Drosophila melanogaster: one gene and its partners. The protein of the gene in region 1 interacts with the protein of each later gene in a pairwise test. Each region holds a gene or a part of one and is shown in the gene's direction. Other genes may lie near its edges.

What was found.
Region 2: the proteins of CG31612 (region 1) and CG10348 interact in a two-hybrid assay, tested with the Drosophila melanogaster proteins (one large-scale study listed by BioGRID).
Region 3: the proteins of CG31612 (region 1) and CG13204 interact in a two-hybrid assay, tested with the Drosophila melanogaster proteins (one large-scale study listed by BioGRID).
Region 4: the proteins of CG31612 (region 1) and Oli interact in a two-hybrid assay, tested with the Drosophila melanogaster proteins (one large-scale study listed by BioGRID).

The regions. Positions count from the first base shown.
Region 1 is NT_033779.5:21,791,775-21,797,361, reverse strand, and holds the start of CG31612 (uncharacterized protein), read left to right. Parts: upstream 1-1,914; 5' UTR 1,915-1,968; exon of another isoform or gene 1,969-2,116; intron 2,117-5,587.
Region 2 is NT_033779.5:18,729,123-18,735,003, reverse strand, and holds the start of CG10348 (uncharacterized protein), read left to right. Parts: upstream 1-2,479; 5' UTR 2,480-4,107; intron 4,108-5,881.
Region 3 is NT_033778.4:11,364,919-11,371,530, forward strand, and holds CG13204 (uncharacterized protein), read left to right. Parts: upstream 1-1,791; 5' UTR 1,792-1,996; coding exon 1,997-2,183; intron 2,184-3,367; exon of another isoform or gene 3,368-3,482; intron 3,483-3,629; coding exon 3,630-3,780; intron 3,781-3,838; coding exon 3,839-5,318; 3' UTR 5,319-5,369; downstream 5,370-6,612. Other genes in the region: Tapdelta (Translocon-associated protein delta), read right to left, coding at 5,535-5,795, 5,855-6,094.
Region 4 is NT_033779.5:17,586,637-17,592,139, forward strand, and holds Oli (olig family), read left to right. Parts: upstream 1-2,547; 5' UTR 2,548-2,943; exon of another isoform or gene 2,944-3,575; 5' UTR 3,576-3,603; coding exon 3,604-4,175; intron 4,176-4,235; coding exon 4,236-4,362; 3' UTR 4,363-4,631; downstream 4,632-5,503. Other genes in the region: CG6870 (uncharacterized protein), read right to left, coding at 5,062-5,475.

The DNA.
Region 1 (5,587 bases):
TACTGTACAAGAGCGAACGCTGTAGTCGTGCTCCACGGGGTGTACGAAGGGCACAAGATATACTTCATTTGATTAAAACTGATTCTACATTCTTATCTAGTACACTTACAATCTAGTATACTTACATATATTTACTGTCCTGATGTAGGGTAGCGATGACTCGTTTTTCTCGCTTGGTTTCGGAATCTGACTAAAATATTGAGAAACTGTAATATATAACCAATATTTTTCGTTGGCTATAATGTCTGCTGCAGGGCGTCCAGCAAGAAGACTTCGCCGCTCTGTGAGCCTTTTGGTTCCACCCATATCAGTCAGCCCCCAAGTACGTCAGTCAGTCAGCGAATGGATGTTGTCCGTTGGTCCGGAGTCAGTCCGCCCGTCCGACTCTGACTGCCCATCGCACATGCAATGGCCGCAGCATTATCATTTGGGATACTCAGATCTTGGCGTGTCGAATTCAGCTTGCGGTGTCCGGGGTCCGCGCGGCGGATTGTGGAGATGGTATGGGAGGGCCTCAAGTTGCAACACAGACACTGGGCGAATCAGAAATGCCAGAATTGAAATCGCAGTTTAAATCATTTCTCGGTGGAACTGCTGCTTCTTCAGCGCCTCCTCGCCTACATGGTGCCCAGTCACAATCGCCTCAAATCTCGAATAACAAATCGCATAATTACGGGGAAGCGGCTGTCCATTGCGTACCCTCTCGCTCCCACTCTCTGCCATCAGTGCGTCCCGCTCTAGTCTTCTGCCTGGCAGCCAAACGAAGACGAAGGAGCGAAGGCTCGAGACGGCGATGCAATTCGGATATGAAATATTTTAGCTAAATGGCAGCCGAAGAAACAAAAATGTGGGATTGAAGCGTATAAATCAGCGGGTATTCGCTCCGTTGCCCTCTGGAGCCCACCTCTCATTTCGGTCCTTTGGATGCTGCATCAATATGTGGATGTGCAGCGGCTGTGTGGTGTCTATGTGAAGCATAAAATCAACCTGAGGCGATAAATCGAAAAGATTTTGCGCTGAACACGCAATTAGTTCACCTCTAGTGGAGGATTCCAATGACATGGAAAAATGGTTTTGATTTCGCAATATAAATGGATTTGCCTTGTGTCCCCGATTTCTATGGACACAACTGAAGGCAGAATATGTGTGAAATGTTTTCTTTGATTGGTGAATTAACATTCTTTTCTTTCTCTATCTACTATAATATACAATATTTTTTATTTATTTTTTTTTTAATTATTGCTCTTTTAAATATACGAACCAAACACACGTTAGAAAATATTGATATTTTCGGGACTTTACGTTGGACAAAACCAGACACTGCTATTCTTATGAACAGCATAAAAGTTGTGAATTTGCTCAAGAATTTAAGCAGAAAAGGATAACATGAAAAACTATTGGGATTTTCTTTTTATTCCTATATACACATTCCATTTTACAAAAATAAGTGAAATAAAAAGTCGATTCCAAAAAGGGAAAATACCTTTGTATTTCTTAGTTTCCCTCGCACTGCTATTTTATTGAACACAGCTGTAAATACATACATATCTGGGACACAAACGATGAGACACAACTGCGAAACATATTCTACACCTTAAAATATTTAAATAAGAAGTAAAAAAGAGTTGAGTAAAAAAACTAGACAGAACCGATCCAAATATTCTTTATTAAGATCAATAGCCATCTCAATCTATCCGTTCGTATTAACCTCGAGACCCCAATAGACCTTAACCGTTAGGAATTATAGCTCGATAAATGTATATATGAAAAAGATCACGAAGTCCAATCAAAAAAAATTGTAAGTAAATTACCCCCTAATCAGAAATCTCTGGTGTTTTTCGAACTTAAAAACCACTCAAATATTCGAACTTCTCTCTCTCAGTTGCACAAACGATTTCGAATTTCGAACTTCTTGTGGGAGAAGCAACTCGTCGCGTGCGTCGTACGCTTGCTGGTGAAAAGTGCGCTGTGAATTATGTTTTATTATCTGTGTTTTACAGTTTGTTCTATCGAATTTAAATGAAAATACGCATCAGCAACAGTGTTTAAGCTCTGCTTTGATGAGAAAAAACTATTTCCTCTAATCCAACCTTGCTACTTGCACTCCGATCCACAGGTTCGTAATATACATATGTATACCCCAAAATTATAAAATAAAATGAACATATTTATGTTTCGACTTGAACTAAGGTAAATACTATGGAATTATTGTTTGGTAAATACATTTTGGTTGCTTTTGGCCATTAAATTGTCATTAATTAAAGGTTTGCTTGCATACCGACAAAAATCAGCTGTTTTGCGGTTTGTAGGGTCAGTGGCGTACATCTCAAGAGGGGGTTAAAACATTTTCGTGTAAGCTAACAACTTGAAAGAATCTATTAGTGGTTGATATGGTACCTATGTTTTGTGAGTACGTTTAAGAACTAATAAATAAATATTTCGTTGTTTATTATTAGCGAAATGTTACCATATATTTTGTAACAATTTCCTAGTTCGAGACCCTCATCCGAACGCCTCTGTCCACAGACTGTTTTCGAAAATTCGACAAGCGAAAGAGCAAGAACAGTTATTGTCTCGTGAGCACAAGAGCGCGACCGGTTTCTGTTTCGCTCTCGCATGTTTGAGTGATTTCGAAAGATGGATGAGTTACTTCGAATTTTATGGGAGAAACAAATTTAATTCCATTTGTCGCCATTTCTGAAAAAATTAATCATTTTACAAATTAAATCGGAAGAAAATAAAATGAAATAAAAAATAAAGGTAAACCAACAATGCGTCGACGAATACATAGTAACGAAAAAATTCACTTTTGTTAAGTTTTTTCAAACATTTAACGTACATGTACATGATTTAAAATATTATTCTTTGCTATTCAAAAAATGTTACTAGGATTGCATCTCCCTAGGATAATATATTATTAAATAAACAATTACACGGAAAACTTGTTTTTTTCTACACCTATTACTTGTTGTTTAAAAAGGACATAGAGAGAAGAGTTGGTCCGTTTGATGGTCGAGACTTCGGAAACTAAAAAAGCCGAAATTTTTAGCTATCAAGGTTTTTGCAGAATGTTGCCGAGCCCACGTCAACGTCCACAAAACCGCCAAAAAATTTACTCCCACACTTTTACAAAATGTTTTCAGTTTTCTGCCCTTATAGTAAAATGGTATACTAGATTCGTTGAAAGAATATATGTACATATTCATAAGTAGATATTATTATAGATGATACTTATGTAGTAGCTCATTTTCATTATGTGTTATCTATAGGAGCTGTATTTGCTATTATATCAGGTTTAATTCATTGATACATATGTATCAATATATGTACATATGTATCATTCATTGATAGCCCAGTCGATCTGGCCATATACATATGCCCGTCGTTATAAACGTCGAGATCAGGAGACTAAGCATACAGATTCTAGAGACATTGTAATAGAAATGTCAATTGCCAATTTTTATAGATTCTTTGTACCAAAAACATTTTGTTTACGCCCCTCCTAACTACCTACAAAACGCACAAAACGGCCAGGACAACATATTAGAACAATTTTGTCATATCTTCTCATTTTATTTGCCAAAATCGATATAATAAATATCGCTATGACAAAAAAATGATGACATTTAATCTGATAGTAGTGGAACTTGACTATAGCATTTTCTTTTGTTCTTATTTTCCCTTTTTCTTTCTCCAACTTTTATCAATATGCAAAAACAATTTTTTTATGTATGTAAAAGCTATAAAACATAAAAAACAAAATTTTTTAAGGAATTTCCTTGTTTCAAAATGTTTTCATATATCCAAACTATTTCTAAAAGGAGCCCTAAACATAAACGCAAACATATATCCTCTTTGGTCTATTTGGAAATTAATAAAACGGACTTTTGCATGGAACGAATTTAAGCCAGCCTATAGTCAAGGTACAAAGCTGGTAAAAGTGCGAATTAGAATTTTCAACATTTTTCTGACATATCGATCGAAAGAAATATAAACTAAGTAGTAACGGGTAAAAATATTAACCAAAGATCGGATGGAAAATAGTTTGGCCATAAATACATACATACGTATATACAAATTGGAAGGTAAGGTGCCCTGTAAGCCGATGAACATTTGAGGAGCTCATAAAAAATGACTTAAAATTAATGTATTGAAATGTATTCGATTGGTAATCGAAAACATTTAAATTCTAAATTGCAAAATTTGTCGCTGATTTATTGTTTTGTAGAGCAGCATTTTTACGAAACTTCTGCGCAGGGCCAGTTTCCGAACCAAAGTGAATACAACAATGAAGAAATGGCTATTCCTTGTCTCACTCACTCACCAAACTCCATTGAAATGTCACTCAATTCCGTGTCAGATTGGCCACGCTCACTGGCCATCGTTCCTCTCAGAAGTTAGGAGTTAGTTAATTCAAGTTCTGAAATTTTTAGAAATGGAAGATATAAGATAACATCTTAGTTAGTTGAAAAAAATAACAACATAATATAAAATAATTAGTTGAAAAATATAAAAGAAAATTAATAAAAATAAAAATAAAAATTAATAGAATTTTATTTCTACCAAGACGTTATCTTCCATGTACTTTCGCAAAGGACATATCTGTTTAAACGACCCTGTCAACCATGTCCTTCATGCTCTTTTCTATTTTCAAAATGTATCCTATGCCCAAGACATTGACAATAGCAAGGACGAAAAGCGGACAACAAAGCAGAAGCGAATCAGAAACGCAAATAATATAGGATAACAGGAGAGCTGCGAATCCTGGAAATGCCTACAAGAAGGGTGGTGTTTTTAGACGGGTGGATGAGGGCGCCCCTCGGTAGACAATTAAAAATATATTTAAGCTGCCAGAGGTCTTGGGTCTAAACTTACTAAATGACTGACAAGTCCGTTGCCTTCGAAGCAAAACACTGCCCCGAAAAAGCGGGGCTGTTAAAAACAAGACAAAGGGAATTTTAAGAAAACTTCCCTCGCTTTTGTTTTTCCCTCCAAAGCACTCGTGTTTTTTTTTTTTCACCCACTCCAACTTCTCCAATCCGTAGCAAAATCAGTTTGAGTTGTGTGATTGTGTACGTGAGCATAACGGTTAAGGTGGCCAAGACTGGGTGCAGTCCACCCCAATGGCCACCCCCTGTCAGAATTGATTGATTGAATTGCCACTTTATGAAATTTGTGAGTCTTCGGAGATGTGCGTGGAAATTCGTGTTCTCGTCTTCGCCTTTCCTCTGGGGTGGATCCGTACGGTGGGTGGGTAGGGGTTTTTCTTGGGCTGGGTGGCTCTCCGAGGGTTGTTCCTTCTGATTTGTGTTTGTGTGCGCGCTGGCTAACAATTTGCAGCATAAAATACATAAAATTATGTGCAGCGCTGAGGCGGCCATTAAACTTGATAGATTTATGACGGACAGCAGCAAGGGAGCCGTACAAAAACAAAGCGAAAGTGTCTGAATGGGGTCTTGTCTTTCAGGCCAACCCCCGTGCAGATATAAAGATAGCTGATTAAAATTGCAAAATTGTCCAAATGAGATTTGGCGCCCAGCGGATATTCTGGAAAATGTCAGCGATTTATATATTTTGTTGCCTTATA
Region 2 (5,881 bases), 3.1 Mb from region 1:
TACTACATAACTCAAGGGGATATCAGATTGAGGTATTGGTTCAAGGTGTGGTGCACTCATTTTCACATACAACATATATTATTCGTGCAATAACATGAAATGCTAACCAAGAATTTATTCTAACTGAACTGAGTATCCAATAATGCATATATCTTTCATACCCCATCTATTTTCTGGTTCAATCAAACACTCACTCAAGACCAAAGTTCCGGCATTTCACCGTCAATCTCCTCCGCATTCCACCACCCAATTGCAATCACTCCACAAAGGATGCCCCAATCATCCAACTGAATTCCATAGCTGACCCACATTCCTCCGCCACGCTAATTAATAAAAGATAATCTTCAATTGAACTCATTTGCAGCACACTGGCCATCATAACAATCCTTTTTGGCCACAGAGGCCCAAAATGCAAGCCAGCCGACTTCATATTATCAAACCATCAATCAAGCGAAGACAACAAGGCGCTTCCCTGCCCGGAAAAGCAGCAAAGCAAGCGAAGGAAAATGCTGTGCGGGCATCGTGTGGAAAGCGGGAGCGGGTGGAAAAAGGAAAGGCCATTAAGGAAAAATAGAAAAATAGTTGTGAACTCATTGACTCAAATAAATAACCAACGACCATGGCACGCGGCCGACGCTGCGAAAGATGAGAACGTTGAGGAGAGTGGGTATCTCGGCCTTCGCAGCTTCCTCTTGGCGGGATGAAGATGATGGCAGATCATCAGCTAGAATAACAAGAGGAGAACAGCTACAATAACAGCTCAAGACGCTACGGAACCTGGAGATTTGCAAATATCTGAGCCATAAAGCTGCCAAGTGTTGGCCTGGCCGATCATCAGCATGATGGCAGCGGAGAAATGGACAGTGCGGACTGCGGACTGCGGACTGTGGACAAACGACCTGATGTGCATGGGGTGCGCTGTACCTGTAACGGTAAAATTTCTACAAGGGAATGTGCTTTCATTTTGAAGTGTTGTATGTCCATGCACTTGGACTTGGACTTGCGCCAAAAAATCAAAGCAACCAAGCTACTGTTAGACAGCCGCAGCGGCCGGAGCAGCGGCAGCAGCAACATCAGCAACTTGCAACAGCAACTAGCAACGGCAGCTGGCAGTTAGGCAGTTAGTCACTTCACAAAGTCATTTTTGATTTGATCGATTTCGTGCAACAGCAACAGCAGCCAGGCACCGCAGCAACATCAAGAGTTCCAGTTGCTGCTGCTGCTGCTATTGCAGTTGCAGTTGCAATTGCTGCTGCTGTTGCAGCTGTGTGAAGTGGCCAAGAAGAAGGCACATGACATGGTCTTGAACATGGACATGGACATTGAAAATGCCCGATTCCAGTCTCGTGCCAAGTAGGACACACAAGTTAAGACCAGAGACCCTTCTCTGACCGTATGTTAATCTGCGATCAGTGAAAGAACCCGTTGAACTTTCCCATTCCCCTAAAGAGTGTGCACACAGAGAAATGATGGGATATTTCTAGACAAGGAGAAGGAAATCAGTCCACAAAAGATGTCCATCGGATTTTTGTCTTTCCTACTTGGTTAGTTTTGCCAAGAGTATAATAGTTTATAATAATTTACAACTGGGTTTTAAGTGTGATTATCCTACCAGCTATTTAAAATAATTAAATACTGATCTAATCTTTAACGCGTAGATTCATGAATAAATGCATCTTTAAAATTAATTCAAAAGTTACATTCCTACAACTAAAATTCGACCCATTCAACCCAGAAGTAATCTCTTTTTCTTTAGGTGCACCCCCCAAGTTACTAGAATGTTGTCCGCTTGTGGCCCGCTCGAGCTTCCAGCGGCGACTGCTTCACGCTCACTTTTCAGATACAGTATCTCGGCGTTTTGTGGAACCCAAGTGAAGCGGCCACGAGATCGGCTTTGGTTCGGGTTCGGGTTCGGGTCTTGAGATCGGCTCTCTGTTCGTCGTTGGGGCGGAAGATCTCCACCCAGTTTTTGGATGCAGGTCTAGCGCTTTTGGAATTTTCATTGAGTAAAACCAGGCAGGATGCATCGCGCGGATCGCTCGGCTGGCGGCCCCTCATTTACCGTTCGAAACTCGTCTAGGCCAGAGCATCTTTGCATGTGTTCGTGTATCTGTGTGAGCACGTTCGCTGGATCGCTCTACATTAAGAAAGAAGTGTATTAGCTTCGATTTATTGCATCGTTGCCTAGGCCCCTGCTTCTGCCTCGGTCGCTGCCTCTGCTGGCGTCGCTGATGCAGTTGGCGTCGCTGTCGACGCTGTGGATTGTGAGTCTCGCGTGGAAGTGGGAATCATCACTGGTGGATCGGGGATCGGTCTTTTATCGTTGTGTATTCATTCAGAGCACCCATACACTCGCCGAAGACGTCGTCTATTTTGCGTTTTTTCCTTCTGTTATGTTTCTGAGCTGAGCTGCTGCTCTTTTCTTAGCTTTTCGTTATTAGGAAATCGAAAACTGAAGCTGCGACTGCGACTGGGTCTATCATCAGTCCGTGAGACGGTCTCAAAGCTATTGGTCGTGTTGTCGCTTTTGTCGGAAAAACAGCAGCACGTAACGCTGAGCAGAAGAGATCCACTACGTAAAGCGGTCGTAAGACGTAACGCCATGCGATCGGTGATAACGGTAAAACATTCAAAATGAAGCGCTACCGTTTTATAGTGAAGTGAAGATAGGATCGCTTAAGGATACATCCTAAATACAAAATATATGTTATGTGTAAATTAAAAGCATATGCAAATGCAAATTCCTAACTGTGTCAATTTCATCCTAGACAAAAACAAAAAGAAACTATCTCCAAACTCGAATCCTCCTATAGACAATAAATCGATACAACTTTGCTGTAAATCTCGAATAAAACGTACAATTTATGCTCCTCTCACACAAATGAAATCACAAATTGCTTAGGAATTTTATGAACTACGCCCAGTACGTGGATGATGTGATATTAAAACACTTGCACAGAGCGATGCATATCTATGGCCTATATATACCAGAGATCGGTGCTAAATCAATGATAACTACTCGCTTAGATCCAATTAATGCAAATTGTGACAGCGCGTAAATGCAAAGTGATCCAAGCCGAGCTGCACGGAAATCAACAACAAATGCCACCGAGACATGTGTACAGGCTGATGATTATGGGCAGACATTAAACAGACAATCCATAATGAAATTATAAAATTGAAAAGATTATAGCCCGGGCTGAGCGATCGTCGAGAGGAAACTGAAACGACTGGGAAGTGCGGTGAGATTGGATCGAAGCGGCTTGGCCGGGGATCGATGTCAACTCCGGGGAGAACAGCTCGCCAATTAAAACGTATTAAATAGAGAAATACATACATATAATAAAAAGTAATTCTAAGCAACTTGTATCATAAATCAGACCAAGCTGGCCAACGCGAGTGATTGTAAAAAGTGTAAAAAGATCAGTAAAATATACCTATATCTCAAAGTGGCAACTTCCCTCGTATATACGTACAACTAAAGCTCCTAATTACCATAAATCTAAAAGTGTTTTAAATACAATAATTTATTAAATACATTCAATCAACATCTTTTACCGTTGACTACGTTTAATTGATAATACGAATATTGGCAGCCAGACAATATTTATATAAAGTTGTACAAAGCTATTTTCTGCTATACAAAAAAAACTACCTAAAGACTATCCTATACCAACTTAAATCCATCCGAAAAAATATCCCCTAAACTGAAGTTCCCACGCGCCATCGGATATCAAAGCTAGATATATGCAATATATCTTATATCTTGGCCCGATCACAGGATGACTTACGCTCCACTACGACAACAACAAAAACCAGCTGAAGCAACAACTATAACCACCAGAAGATCAAATTTGTATAGCAGCCAATGCCAGTCGAGTTATCAACATCCGTAAGGCCGAGAGAGAAAAATACGCTGCAATAGCCAAACGGTGCTCAAATGGTGATTTCTTCCTGCCAGCGGCCAACGGATATCCGTGCGGATTTTATACCAACAACGACCATCGCAGCCACGACAACGAGTTGTGCAATTAGAGCAAAGCTGCACAATAAACTAGAAGAGGCTGGCAAATTGATGCTACCAAAGCGATCAGAAATATCAAGCATGTAAGTTGAAAGATATGCACAAGACAGATTGAGGTTGAGCAAAAGACAGTAAGATACTTTTTCAGAAAGGGGCAAAAACAATATATAAATAAACACCTTAGAATATCTAAATTGAACATAAAACCACAATATCCAAGAAACCTTCCTGCCATTACGTTAACTATAATACATAAATGAATTTTAAAACTCTAATGAACCACTACGGCTTAATTTAATTGATTACAATAAGCACCATCACAGGATCAACAAATATTAGACTTAATGTCAACTGAGGAACATTTACCACCAACAAAAAGTTGATAGATGAATTTTAGTTTTTGTATCTGGCTGCCTCGCGATCAGCAGACACGTATTCGAAAGATTCAAGGCTTCCACCGCTCGAAACTGTATTTTTCTTGTATTGTAATTGATGAATGAATGAAATTGAAGTTCGAGTAATGACGCAGCGATTTCGTGGGGCGGCATTAAGATTTAGCCAGGCCAAAAAGACGTTGCGAGCGAAATAGAGTTGTCCGCGCACAGATACAGACACACTTTTTAATTTGGCAATCAAAAGAAAAAATAAATTATATAATTTTTCTCTTTTGGCTACGCCTAGATTCACGCACTATTGGCCCACCGAGCGGGCATGGAATGTATTTTCTATAAATTCGATTGTTTCCTTAGCTCAAGAAGAGTGTTGTGCTTTATTTTCGAAAGTGATTAATAGGTTTGACATGTTACTTTTACGCTAATTGAGCGATCAAAATCGAATCGAAATGGTGAAGGGCGAAAGGGTAGCAGCGGCGATAATGATAATCCCCGAATGGAATAAAAGTGTCCAAAAAGCGTTTATGCGTTAAATGCACGGAAATCGGCCGCATGTATCCGTCAGATGCAGATACATACATTGAATCCATAGGCATTGGGGCGATTAGTAGCGCCTTTCGATTTTTTTTTTCGCCCCTCGTTTTGGAGTGAATGTTTTGGGCGCGTCCATCGCAGAGGAGGAGTAACGAGGGGTGGGGGCAAATTAAGCAGGTTAATTTAATTTTAAATAGAAGTCGATGGTCGGTCGGTTGGATACAGATTTTTTACTTTTCTTTTTGTTTTTGTTTTTGTTTTTGGGAGTGCGGTGGCAGATGGGCGTAAAAGAAGCGCCCGAAACAGAAACAACAGATCATTAATTAAACGTTTGGAGGTTAGTGAGTGGCCAAAAAGCCAGACAGGTTGATAGAAGCCAGTCCCTGTTCCAGAGCCCCAGTAATGAAATAAACTATTAGACCATTTGATCATTAGGCGAGGAACACGAAATAAAGCGAAGAAGTGACGAATCGATGGTCTGCGGACAGTTCAATGAAGTTCTCAAAAGGCGAGGTCCAATTTAGATTGTGTGAATAGATACACATTCATCTACTTCCCATAAATAATATTTTGAATAAGACGTTCACGGGACTTAAGGTAGTATAACTCACTTAGCGCGTTTATTTGAAACAATAGGTTAGTACATTATTTATCTAAAATGTTTGGACAAATTGGAACAGCAGTTTCTTCTATTATAGTTTTCAAATTTGTAGCTAATACTTGAACTATTATGAGCTGGCTGGAAAATAGCAATAAAATTGCGATAAACCATAAAGCATTGTTAGGGACCGTGAAAAACTTTCGCACAAATTCACACACAGCCCGTTTCACTGAGGTGGCGAAAAGAAATTATGACACTTGATCGTTCGGGGGCAGTGAATAATTTGTTTACGGCATTAAAATGCCAATTAAAGTGCGAGTTGGCCCGAAA
Region 3 (6,612 bases), on another chromosome or scaffold:
GAACTGGCAAACCGGGAGCTGTGGGTGCCAGAGGGAGGGGGTGGCGATGGTTGAAGAGAGGGGGGAAGTTGGTGGTGGGGGGAGGTAGAGCAAGAGCCGGCCGCCAGGACTTGTGCTGTGCCAAAAGAGTGAGTGAGAGAGGGACCGAGGGGCACAGAGGCGGAGACGTCGCTGCTGCGTGTGCGAGTGGGGGCGGGCAGGAAGATAGAAGGAGGGAACGAAGAGGTGAGGAAGGGAGAGGAGGCGAGACGAGAGAAAAGCGAAAAAATACTTATAATAAAAGCAACAAAAAACCCGCACAAGCTGAAGAGATACAAACGTACACACGCAGCCAAAGCGCACAAGCACACACACACAGGCGCCGTCGTCGTCGCCTGGCTAAATATTCGCCAATGTGTGTGTGTTTGTGTGTTAGTTTGGAAGGAGCCAAAGCGGTAGGTAAGTTAACTGGTCGTAGGTTCGCAACAACAAAACCAGAGTCGCAGCAGCACCAGCAGCAGCAAAAGAAAAAAAGAAGAAGAGGACGGCCAGTGAACGCGGTGAACGGGGGGGTTGCTGAGGAACGCGGATCGATGGAGCCATTTGGCTGAACCAGAAGCGAGTCCAGCAGCAAGAAAGGGGGCCCAGCGGCCGATTGTTCGCGCTTAAAGAATTTAAAGCTGAAGTAGCATCAGGAAGAGATATTAAAGGCATTTTATTTTTAAGCAACAGTAATTGGTTGCAAATATTTTATACTATGTACTGGCTTCCACGATAACAGGGTATACGATAACTTGGTAAAATTGTTCACAGGTTTTCAGGGTACCCTCCACATGGTGCTCCATGTACATACAAACATACACACATACGTATGTATGTTCTTACGCCCCTGAGCAGGCTCGCCCACTCTCCAATTTTGGCCGTCCTGCTCCCCCACCCTTGCAACACTCAATTTCAAACAAACCTCTTTTGCGCTCTTCTCACATCTTTCACTCTCTCAAAAGTGGCTGTCCTAGCGGTACCAAAAGCTCGGTTGAGACAAACTGATAAGGATAAGCAAAGATCACTCTCTTGATGCTCTCTTTGCACAATTCTCAATCGTTATGATATCCTTTCGATATGCCATTGCTTATGCTGTGACCTTGAACTTGGCTGGACGAAACGGGCACGTGACAATCAACAGTTCCATCTTCTGCATTTTAAAATGCATTTAAGCAGCTCTTGCAGCACATTTCGCCTGCCACAAAGTGCGGGCAGCATCGCAATTTTGTCGCGCCTGGGTTTCGTGTCCACACATATACATATGTATATGCATGTATGTATGTACACAAATACATACCTAGCACTATAGTGCAACTAGCCCTCTGGTTCTTCTTTCTATGTGGTTGCTGTTGCTGCTTTTTTCTTGTGGGCGGTTAACGCTCAAGCGGTGCGAACGCCCATGTTGCGCCCCTTCCCTGCCCTCCCACCTCCGCCAGCTCTCTGTTTTTTCGTCATGATGAGCTTGCCTGGCTGCCTGCTTGTTCTTGTTCTTCTTTACACGTCCTCCAACGACGTTCGCTGTTGGGGCCCCGCTTTTGCTGTTGCTGTTGTCGCTGGTGCTGCTGTTGCTGTTGCTGGTTGTTGTTGGTTCGGGCTGTCTATGCATGTATGTGTGAGTGTGCGTTCGTGTGTGAGTGTGCGCGCGCGGCGGTAGGTGGGGGCGGGGCGGGGCAGGGTGAATCAGGGGCGGTGCGGCATGGGGGAACGGTGGAGTGGGGAGCGTACTTGTGTGTGCATGCAGCTCTCGGCGGCGTCGTCGTCGTCGTCGTTTCATTCAAGTGTCCAACGTTTGCCGGAGCGGTCGCACACAGAACGGTAGTCGGATAGTCGGACGGTTGGCAGATTCCGATTTTTGCGCTCGCTCTCTCTCCCTCTCTCTCTCGTTAGCCCGCGCTCTCTCCTGCTGTGTACTGTTAGCAAGGAGGCGACCGAAAAATAAGAAGCTTGCCGAAACCGTTAGCAAAGCGCCGTTAGCATGAAGGATGTGAAAGTGGCGCGCGCAATTAGCGAGTCCTCGACTACGTCAGATAACACCTCCGATTTCATCGAGATCGTAAAGAAGTACGATGTGGTGTACAACAACCACAATCCGGATTACAAGAACGTTGAAGTGAAGCTGAAGGTTTGGACGCAAATCGCCGATGAGATAGGTCTTTCAGTGGGTAGGTAATAATTACAAGTAGCACCACCCCCTCGTCAGCCCGGCCCACCACCAAACCCCCTTCCACCCAGCAAATAAGAAGGAGGCGCAGGAAATTGAATTACGTAGAACCCACGCACACTGCTGCACTGTATATACATATGTATATGCATATATACAACCTTTGTATATGTACCTGAAAGCGGACAAACTCAAACCGCCCGGCCTGATATTTTTCGTACGCTGGTACATATACATATGTATATAGAAACTGTACGTTCATATGTGTGTGTGTATGTCAGTTGGAGTGCGGTCGGCAAATTGCAGCGAGAAGCAGAAACAAAAAAAATATAAGGAAAACACACTGGCACGCAGAAAAAACAAACAAAAACAGTCGATGAGCGAAAACTGCGCGCTCTCTGATGCTGAGAGAAAGAGCGAGAAAGATAGTGAACAGGCCGGAAGGGGCGGTTGTGGGAGTGGGTTGGCGAGAGCTTTTCAAAACAAAAACATTGCGCACGGTGTTGCCAGGTGCGAAACTTTTTCCCAAAACAAGCAACCACCTGTGCTGCAATTTTTAATAATATTATTATTATTATTATATTATAATATTGCCTATATAATTGTTATTTTAACTTTTAGTCAAACATAAATAAATGTGTAATATCATACATTAGTTATATTTTAATGTGTATTTTGTCTAAATAGAGCACCATGTATTCTTTAGTTCCCCTCGTAAACATTAAACATTTGTTACCGCCACGACGGTTTAATTTGGGATTAATTTTAATCTAGCATAACTTAAATGCTTTTGGAGCATACTTCCAATAAGAGCCCCAGAAGATACTAAGCATCGCTTTGCTTATATGTGTGTACAATATACAAAAGTCTCATAATTTTTAGAAATGAAACGTGTGTAAATGCTTTTTTTAATCTATTATAATATCTTACGAGCAATTCAGATGATAGGAATACCTTTTTGAATTGAATTTCAGAATATCACGATTAAATTTCTTTTGATTGCGGCTTTATATTCACCATATTGGCGAGCAGATCGCTTATTGCAAATTCTAATGAATTATATTATTAAAAACTCCAAACTGCATTCGCTGATTAAGTATTTCGTTGGTCATGAACGGCGGTCACACTGTCCGAAATTTAAATTTTAAACTTGACCCCACTATACATTTGTACATGGGCTAATGGAAAAAATTAAAAGAATATTTAAATCTGTGTTGAAATATGCTTTTGGTAGCTGACAACGTATTGAGCCGCATCCTTAAAAATTAGCAGTCCTGATAATAGAATCAGCGATAAGTTTGTGAGATGGTCTAAGCTTAAAACTTATTTTATCCTTAATCATTAAATAACGACTGAGAGTAATATTCAACAAAACACTTCCGATTTTTCAATGTTGCATACCACAATTATCAACATCTAATTTTTTCTTATTGCATTTGATTTTTAGAGGCCTCGAAACGGAAATGGAAAAATCTAAGGGACAGTTATACAAAGTATCTTCGCTCGTTTCGCGTAGGCACAAAGACATCCAAGAAGTACCAGTACTGGGCCCATGCAGATCACATGGATTTCCTAAAGCCCTTCCAGGGACCGGGCAGGTGAGTACTCCACATTGCAGCTCATTTGTACAATCGCCGAACTGATCATCTGTTTTAGGAACTCCGCGAATGGCAATGGAAAATCCAACGACGAGGACGACACAGAGTGTGATTTTGGCTACCAAGTTTTGGCCAAGGCGGCCAGCAATGGAGGCGAGGATGAGCTGAAGATAACCATTGCCACTGCATCGGCTGGTTGCTCATCCATGGGGACGCACACGGTTAATACCTATACTACCGCTTTAAGCAGTACTTCGGCGTCCGGCATAACATCAAGTTTGGGCGCGACCACGCCCCCGAATATGATCTCTCCAGGCAGCAATTTGGGCGGAACAGGAGGAGGTTCTGGGTCCGTGGGACCGCAAATCCACAACAGCAATAGCAACGGCAGTGCAACCGGAAGTCTAAACTGTGCTGCAGTGGCACCGCTCAGTTCGATGACTCCACCTGCCACCAGTGGCAGTAATTCCGCCGTAGTCTTGCCCCTGCCCATCTCACCCGCATCCTCAGTCGCTGCCGCAGCTGCTGCTGTCAGCAAGGCCAATGCAAATGCCCTGGCCTCTCTGGCTAACCATCTGCCCATGGGCTTGGGCGTGAGCGGACTGGCCCAGCAGATGTTCCCGCTAGCCACGCTCAAGGCGGCGGCAGTGGCTGCTGGTCTTCCCCTGCCACCTACGATCACGCCGCCTGGTTGCAGCACCGGCAGCGCAACCAACAGCAATGTCGGTTGTCTGATCATCGAGCCGCATCTCTTTGCGGCGGCGGACAACTTCAAGAAGGAACTGACAGCGGCTGCGGCAGCTGGAGCACCTTTGGGATTGTTCCAGAACCTGGCCAACCAAGTGCAGAACGCCAATCGTTTGAACGGCAGCTGCCCGAGCTTACCCATGGGTAATCCCACTCCTCCGCCGCCGCCGCCAGCGCCACCAGCCTCCAAGGTGCGAAGGGTACAACCTTCGCCGCAAACCACGGCCATCAACCTAAGTTGCTCCGGAGGGAATTCCGTACAAACGCAGCAGCAGCAGTCAATGCAAATGCCACAAATTCAACAGCAACAACAGCCGTCGCCCGCCAAAACGCGTAAGATTTGCGATCCGCGTTTTCCGAGCGATTGGGACGTCTCTGCCGTGCTACAGGCCAACAGAGAACTTGACGCAAACACTCTTTTCTTCTTGAGTCTGGCGCGGCAGGTGCGAGCTATGCCCATGAAATTCCAGTCGCTCGCCAAGATGCGTTGCATGCGAATCGTCAGTGATTTGGAGCTAGAGCTGGAGAACTTTGATTGCAACGGTGGAGCGCCACCGCCGGATGATTCAGGCGGAGGAGGAGCTGGGAATCTCAAGTACTGCAGCATAGATACTCCGCCACCGCCGCCGCAGGACGGCTCCGTGGTCATACCCCCGCCGCCAGTCGGCCCCGAGGGCTCCACGGAGCACTTTGTGTATGTGATGTCGCCGTCGCGTGTGGAGAGCATGATAGACATCTCCTCCGACGAGGAGGCGACCATGAATGGAGCGCCCTCCACGGGCCAGGTTTAAGCGTATTCGTACAAGTTATCTCTAAATTAAAATTAAATTAATCTCAACTAGGTTCCTTCGGTTGGTCTTTCAATCAGTTTATTTTGGAGCGGCGGGTGATCCGATGCTTAGGTGTACAAAATGTGGAAAAATCTCCGGGACCCGGCAATTTGATGGTACATGACTTTAGTGCGAATGAATTTCATTCAAAATCTCGATGACGAAGGCATCCTCTACTTAGGACTGCACCTTGCCCTTGGTGGTGAAGGCGAAGTATGCGAATCCGCCGACCAAGAAGGCGGCCAAAAGCTCAGCCTTGATCCAGGGACCCTTGTAGGCACCCTTGGTGGGCACGGAAATGTCGAGCAGCGACTTCACCGATGAAACCTTGTCGCCATCCCGCTGGGCCTTGCGCACATTGGCATAGCCATCCTCGTCGAAGAGACGCACCTGAACATTGCCGCTGCTGCCCTGCTTGATATCCTCCACCCAGCTCACCTAGTGCAGAACAGAGATTAGCCTTTGCACAAAACTTGACGGGGCTACTACTGGCTCACCTGGTACTTGTTGTCGCCCACCTTGGCCACCGGCACCACCTTGCCGCAGGGGAACTCGGCGAACAGGCTGGCGGGAGCGGCTCCGCTGCACTGCAGCGTGAACTCGCCCACATGGGCCAGCTGGGTCAGAATCGTGGCATCCTGGGTGCTGAAAGAGCTCACGGTGGCCTTGCAGCTACCGTAGACGCCGGACGCACAAACGGCGGCAATCAGGCAAATGGCGAACAGTTGACGGGACATCTTGATCAAGTTATGAGGTGGTTTTTATTTAGTAATCAATGGAATAGGCGGAACTCTACGGCTATCCAACTCGGCGACCTGCGACTTTCTTTCTCTCTGGAAGCGAACGCCACGACAGCACCATACATACGTCACGTCACTTGACAGCTACGAAAATTGCCGAAGTCGTACCAGTTCGATGGTCACACTGGTCGTGACCAGGGATGGCAACGCTCAGTCGAGAATAGCTACAAAATAGCTAGTAGCCCGTGGTAAATTTTTCCGATTTTTTACTTGTTATATCTAAAAATACAGTTTTAGAAAGCGGTTTTTTGTAGTTTCCTAATGACATCTATATGTTAAGATTTCTCCGGGAATGTTTGTCGTTCGAATATGATAGCAATTAGTACGTATACGTAAATGTTATAAAATTCATATAAAATTTGTATATACAAGTATTAAAAATAAGTGCGTATACATAAAAAATATAAAAATATGGGATTCATTTTATTTGGAATAAAGTTATTACTAATGATGTC
Region 4 (5,503 bases), 4.2 Mb from region 1:
ACGAAAAAGTCAGGGTTGTAAGTTGTCTAAAGCTCGAATGAAAGATACCTTAAAACTAAAGTTCAAAAGCATTTTCCATGATATTTACTGTGATATATTAAAAAACTGCATTAATAGTTAAAAAGTACATTGAATAATTTAATAAAATTAGTTAACAGCGTCACAAAATGAATAGAGCCACTTATGTCCATACCCGCGGTGGCTTAGTTCGAGGGTCATCCATTAACCCATGACAACCCTTTGACGGATCACGAGGTACGAGCCAAAAAATCCCTGGGCTGGCCATTTACAATTGGTCCGCAGTGCGGAACCTAAGCTAATGATGACTGGCATGCACAAATGTACAAATCTTAATTATGCAAATCACGGTCGCGCATAAATTATGCAAATTATAATGAAATTCCTCATTGCCTTTGCCGGACCTGGGATCCGGGAACCCGGATACGGAACAGCGACAAATGCCCATATATATGTATATGGATTGATAAAAATGTGGCCATAAAATGAAAAAACCGAAAATTTAAATTTCGGCTGGCCCGGGGTTGAAAAGTCGAAATGATTGTGTTGGCCGTAGCTGAAGCGCCGTAAATTGCAATGTAAATGCTGCATATATAAACTGAATTAGTCCCAGAACAATTACAACAAGGGAGAGTGCACTGCGATTGCAAATATACCCGATTCCGATCCCGAGCCCGAAACCCAAAAAAAAAAAAAACTCTCACAATCACGCAGCAAATGGTGCATTGCCTAGAGGGGCTGTCCAGATTCCGGATTTCATTGAAAATAATGGCATACGGTGACTGCTGCCCCGAACATCTGACACAATAATTTTCCCTACGAAAGGAGGGAAGCGCAAACAAAGGCCAAATGGAAAAGTTGCCAGCGCAAATTATTAAATTTATCATGCGCGAAGTCATTAGGTCTGTCGCCCGTGCTCGTAGTTTGACTTATTCTAAGGACTAAACGACTGCAGGCAGCTCCACGCACACACACTCCGCCACTTATACATAAATGTCCTGCGAGGCCCGAAGTGTGGAAAGTCATTAGTGGGCATTGCAGTTGACAGGAGGATGGAGATGCTGGCTTTGGATAATAAACATCTGCTTTAGCTATGGAACTTGTAAAATAACAAAGTTTATAACTTTAAAAGAGGCATCTTCGAAAAATTATTTCAAATTTTGACTTAACAATTTACAAGTCGATAAAAAAAAGAATGTTCACAGATTTTTTCGATTAAATTTTATTATTAAAAAAATTCTCTATTGATTGATTTTAAATATTTATCAGAGCAGCACTAACAAAGAATCTTCATCGGACGACTTTTTAAAAAAATGTTTGATTTTCATGATAATTTTGTTAGGTTGTCATTTAAACAGCGGATTTCTAAATATTTCAAAAAATATTTCAATTGAAAAACACTCTTATAATACTCTTAATTGAAAAATGTGTCCTTTTATATTTAAATTAATAAAAATATACCCACACCCAAAGATTGCTTAAAACTAATAAATACAATCAAATAAATAAATATGTGGCCTAGATCTGCCTAGCACTTCCTATCATTTTCCATACCTTTTTCTAGCTTATGCCTTTGCCAACGAAAATATTTGGCATGTGCCATTTATGGCATTGTTCCAGCTTTGAACAATGCGATACCATAATTTCCAGGCAACTCGCAAACGCACAAACTCGCTCACGTAGAGAATGCCATGCAGATGCGGCATCCTCTGAGCTATGCTGTATATGGGCATATAGGCGAAATACTAGGATGCACGGGCTATGGACGGCTATTCGTGGTCCTTGTTCCTCGTTCAACCCCCTAGGACAGGAATCCAGGACTGGCCAGGCGGCCCAGGATCAGCAGGCAGTGAGCATGTGATTAGATTCAGTTTCAATGGAAATTGAAATCACAGACAAAGGAGCGGACCCGGCGGATTCAGGGTGCGAGGGGTGGTGATGGGCCATCAGGGTTGAAAAGGAGCGAAGCGATAAAAATCCTGAACAACAAGAAAAGTGAATTTTCGGACAGGCAGGGCAAAGGCATTAAAAACTTCATACACTTGTAAAAAATTTGACTGCACTAAATAATATTCAACAATTAAATGCAACTTTGAGAGATAACAAAAGTTTTTGGTTTTCGTTACAATCAAGTGTGGTTATAGTTAATTATTACTTAACCAATTGAAAAATGCAGACTTTTATTTAATATACAAAATAATGATTAATAATGAATAGATTATTAATTAGTATGATTTTATACCATTTTTAAATGCAAATATGTAATTGTTAACTTTTCAATAGCAGATTAGATTTATGTTAGAAATTATTATTATTTTGTGTAGGGTATATCTGATGCTATATGTTATGTTTCAAAAAGGTTTCGATCATTAGTAATCATTTTTTTTTCTTAGTGCTGAAACTGTGACTCATTCACCTTTGTGAGTATTGGTAATAATCGTGCTGTATGTATTGGTGTGGATGCTGCATTATGCGAAGCCCAACCACTAAACGTCAACCACCGGCGTCGACACCCGACCCACATTTTATATAGTGGCTCATAATATTCCTTCTGCAGAAAGAGATTAACACCAAACGGCGACGGTGGCGTCGGTGGCAAAAAGTTTATAATCATCCTCGCTGACAGAGCGAAAGAGACGGGCGATTGGAAAGCATAGGCGGAGGCAGGGAGAGAGAGAGAGAGAGTGAGCGGAGAAAATCGGAAAATCGTTATGCGACTACTATAACCCACCACAAAATCGCGGTCGTCTCTGTTGTTGCCGGGCACCTCACACTCGCGCATCGATTCCGATTGCGATTCAGGATCTGAATTTTTTGCCTGGTTTGTGGTGCGTGCGATTTTTAAAAATGTTTAAATCCGCAATTTCTTTCTCCGTGCTCTGTGCTCTTCGTCCCCTTCGTACACCGGCGAACTTGTGATTTGTGGTTAATTTAAATTAATAATCTTTTAAGTGTGTCATGAATTAACTGCAAGTTAAATAAAGTGCTGCGTCGATTTTGCATATTTTATAATCCATTTCGTTGGGTTAATAATTGCCAAATTTATTATTTATATATATTGACGTATAATTTTAAAGTTTATTGTTTTCTGAAGTGCTGCGCTCCTAAATAAATTTAATGCCGCTAAAATTGTATTCGCCATGAAACATCATATTAAACCATCCCTTAAATTGGACTACTACACAGCGCCACCTATGAAAAGCTTTGATAAGCTTATATTCATCTTGTTAATCTGACTACCGCGTAATATTTTGGCTTTGAATTTCCGAAAGGCTTAACGATTATTTTGCTTTAATTAAATTTAAGGAATACCTGACAGACGTTTGCAATTTGTTAAACCATTTCGGGTTAAAACACAAAACAGATGCTCCACCTATAAAAAGCTTTGCTAACCTATTAAATACATAAAATTCCGACAGATGGCGCTACCGAACAGCTGAGCATACGAGTATTCACCCCTATTTTTTAGTTTTCTTATGCAACCCTGCATCATAATAACTTTGATTTGCAAGGACTACCCTAAAAGATTACACATCCCTTCAACCTTTTTTTCACAGCTGGAAAAGTCCCATAAAATACAAAAAAATGGATCCCTCGAATCTTGCTTTTGGTTTTCCCGGTCTCCCCAACCACGGACACATGCCAATACCTCCTACAGCCAATATGCTTGGTGGCCAGCATCCAGCACCCACCGCCAGCCCACCACAAAGCGTCCCCGGCCGTCGGACGCCACTTGGATCGGTTGGTCTGGGTGGTTTCTATGCCCAGGGAATGGGCATGTCCCAGCAGCCACCGACGGATGAGAACAAACCAGGGCCCAGTGCTCCGGAGAAGCCATTGAGTCCCACGGCCGCCGCCATCGCAGCCATTGCCATCAGTGGTGGCACCACCACGGTGGCCGTGTCCAGTGGTGGCGCCAGCGGAAGTGGCTCCAACAGTGGCAAGCAGAAAAACCGCCAGGGAAAGACGGTAAGGCTGAACATAAATGCCCGGGAACGACGAAGGATGCACGATTTGAATGATGCCCTTGATGAGCTGAGAAGTGTGATTCCCTATGCCCATTCGCCTTCTGTGCGAAAGCTGTCGAAAATAGCCACCTTGCTGCTGGCTAAGAACTACATTCTGATGCAGCAAAATGCTCTCGAGGAGTTGAGAAGGTAACGTAGTTCATTACCACGCTCAATAGGAATTATTAACATATATGCTTTTACTTTTAGACTTTTGGCCTATATACAAAGCACCACGGGAGCAGCGCCACTGGATTTGGGTGCATTTCCGGCGGCTGCCAAGTTGCAGGCTCTTCTTCAAGGACCTCACAACGAACCACCGACTAGCAGCAGTTAAATAGGAGTGGGGGCCACCATAAACTATGGTTCAACTGATAAGCAATCCATTAATGAGCAATACTTTTAAGTCAATTGGAAAGCAAATGCCAAATACTTGTGTACTAGTCAGACGAAAGGAGGTTGATAAGGAGCCTCTTATCAGAGCAGCCAAGTGAAAATCTGTTCAGTGATATTTATTTTTGTCATAAGCATTTCTTATTTATGCATTTACCCAATGTCAACCAATATGTGTAAGATGAATATTACCGAATAAAGTATTATTGAAGTAGAAAGTATGTCGTTGGAAAAGGGTTTGGTCATTTAGGTTTACCCATCAGCACTGATAGAAGCCTGTCATTTTTCAGAATCATCAAACAAACAAACAAAATAAGAGTTTCAAATACTCAAACACGCCCAACCCAACCAACCATTTATAGTCATCAGATAACAAACATCAAAGAGCACAATCAAATTTAAAATAATATAATCTTAGATCCGTTTCAAGTCTTGGCAAAAATATTTAACATATAAATATACATACATAGTTGTCTGTATGGTTTTTGATGATTAAGCAAAAGCCGTTTAGCGGAATTCGAAATAAGCGGATTACAACTAGAAAACTAGTCGATGAATACTCTAAAAATATATATATATATAGACATATACGACATGGAGGACGGCGGCGAAGGCGATCGGTGCAAAATCGGCTGGCATTATATTATTCCGGTATGCCCAGGGACAAAACCTTGTTTTTGCCAGTGCGAAAAATGTGCTGCTTGGTGGGCAGTTGACCGATCAAGAAATCCTTCATCATTTCGATGGCATCCCCCGAGTGTCCTGTGCCATGGAAGGCGATGGTGGCATCTCGCCCTGCGTGATCCATAATGACGTCGTCGCCGCCGGGATGATCCCTTAGAAAGTGTGTCACATCGTAGACCCTATCGTAGATTACCACCCAGCAATCGTCGAAGCTGTCGTGCTGGGCCACCTCCTCCAATGCGATCTCCGGCAGATCTTCCAGTTTTAAACGTTCCTTTTTGCTTGGTACAACGACCACCTGATTACTGGACTTTCCATGTCCCAAGGGCACAATTCTCAGCGATTGCAAGAGGTTCGTCAACGCGGATGACATGTTGTAAGTATGCAATTACTTTCACTTT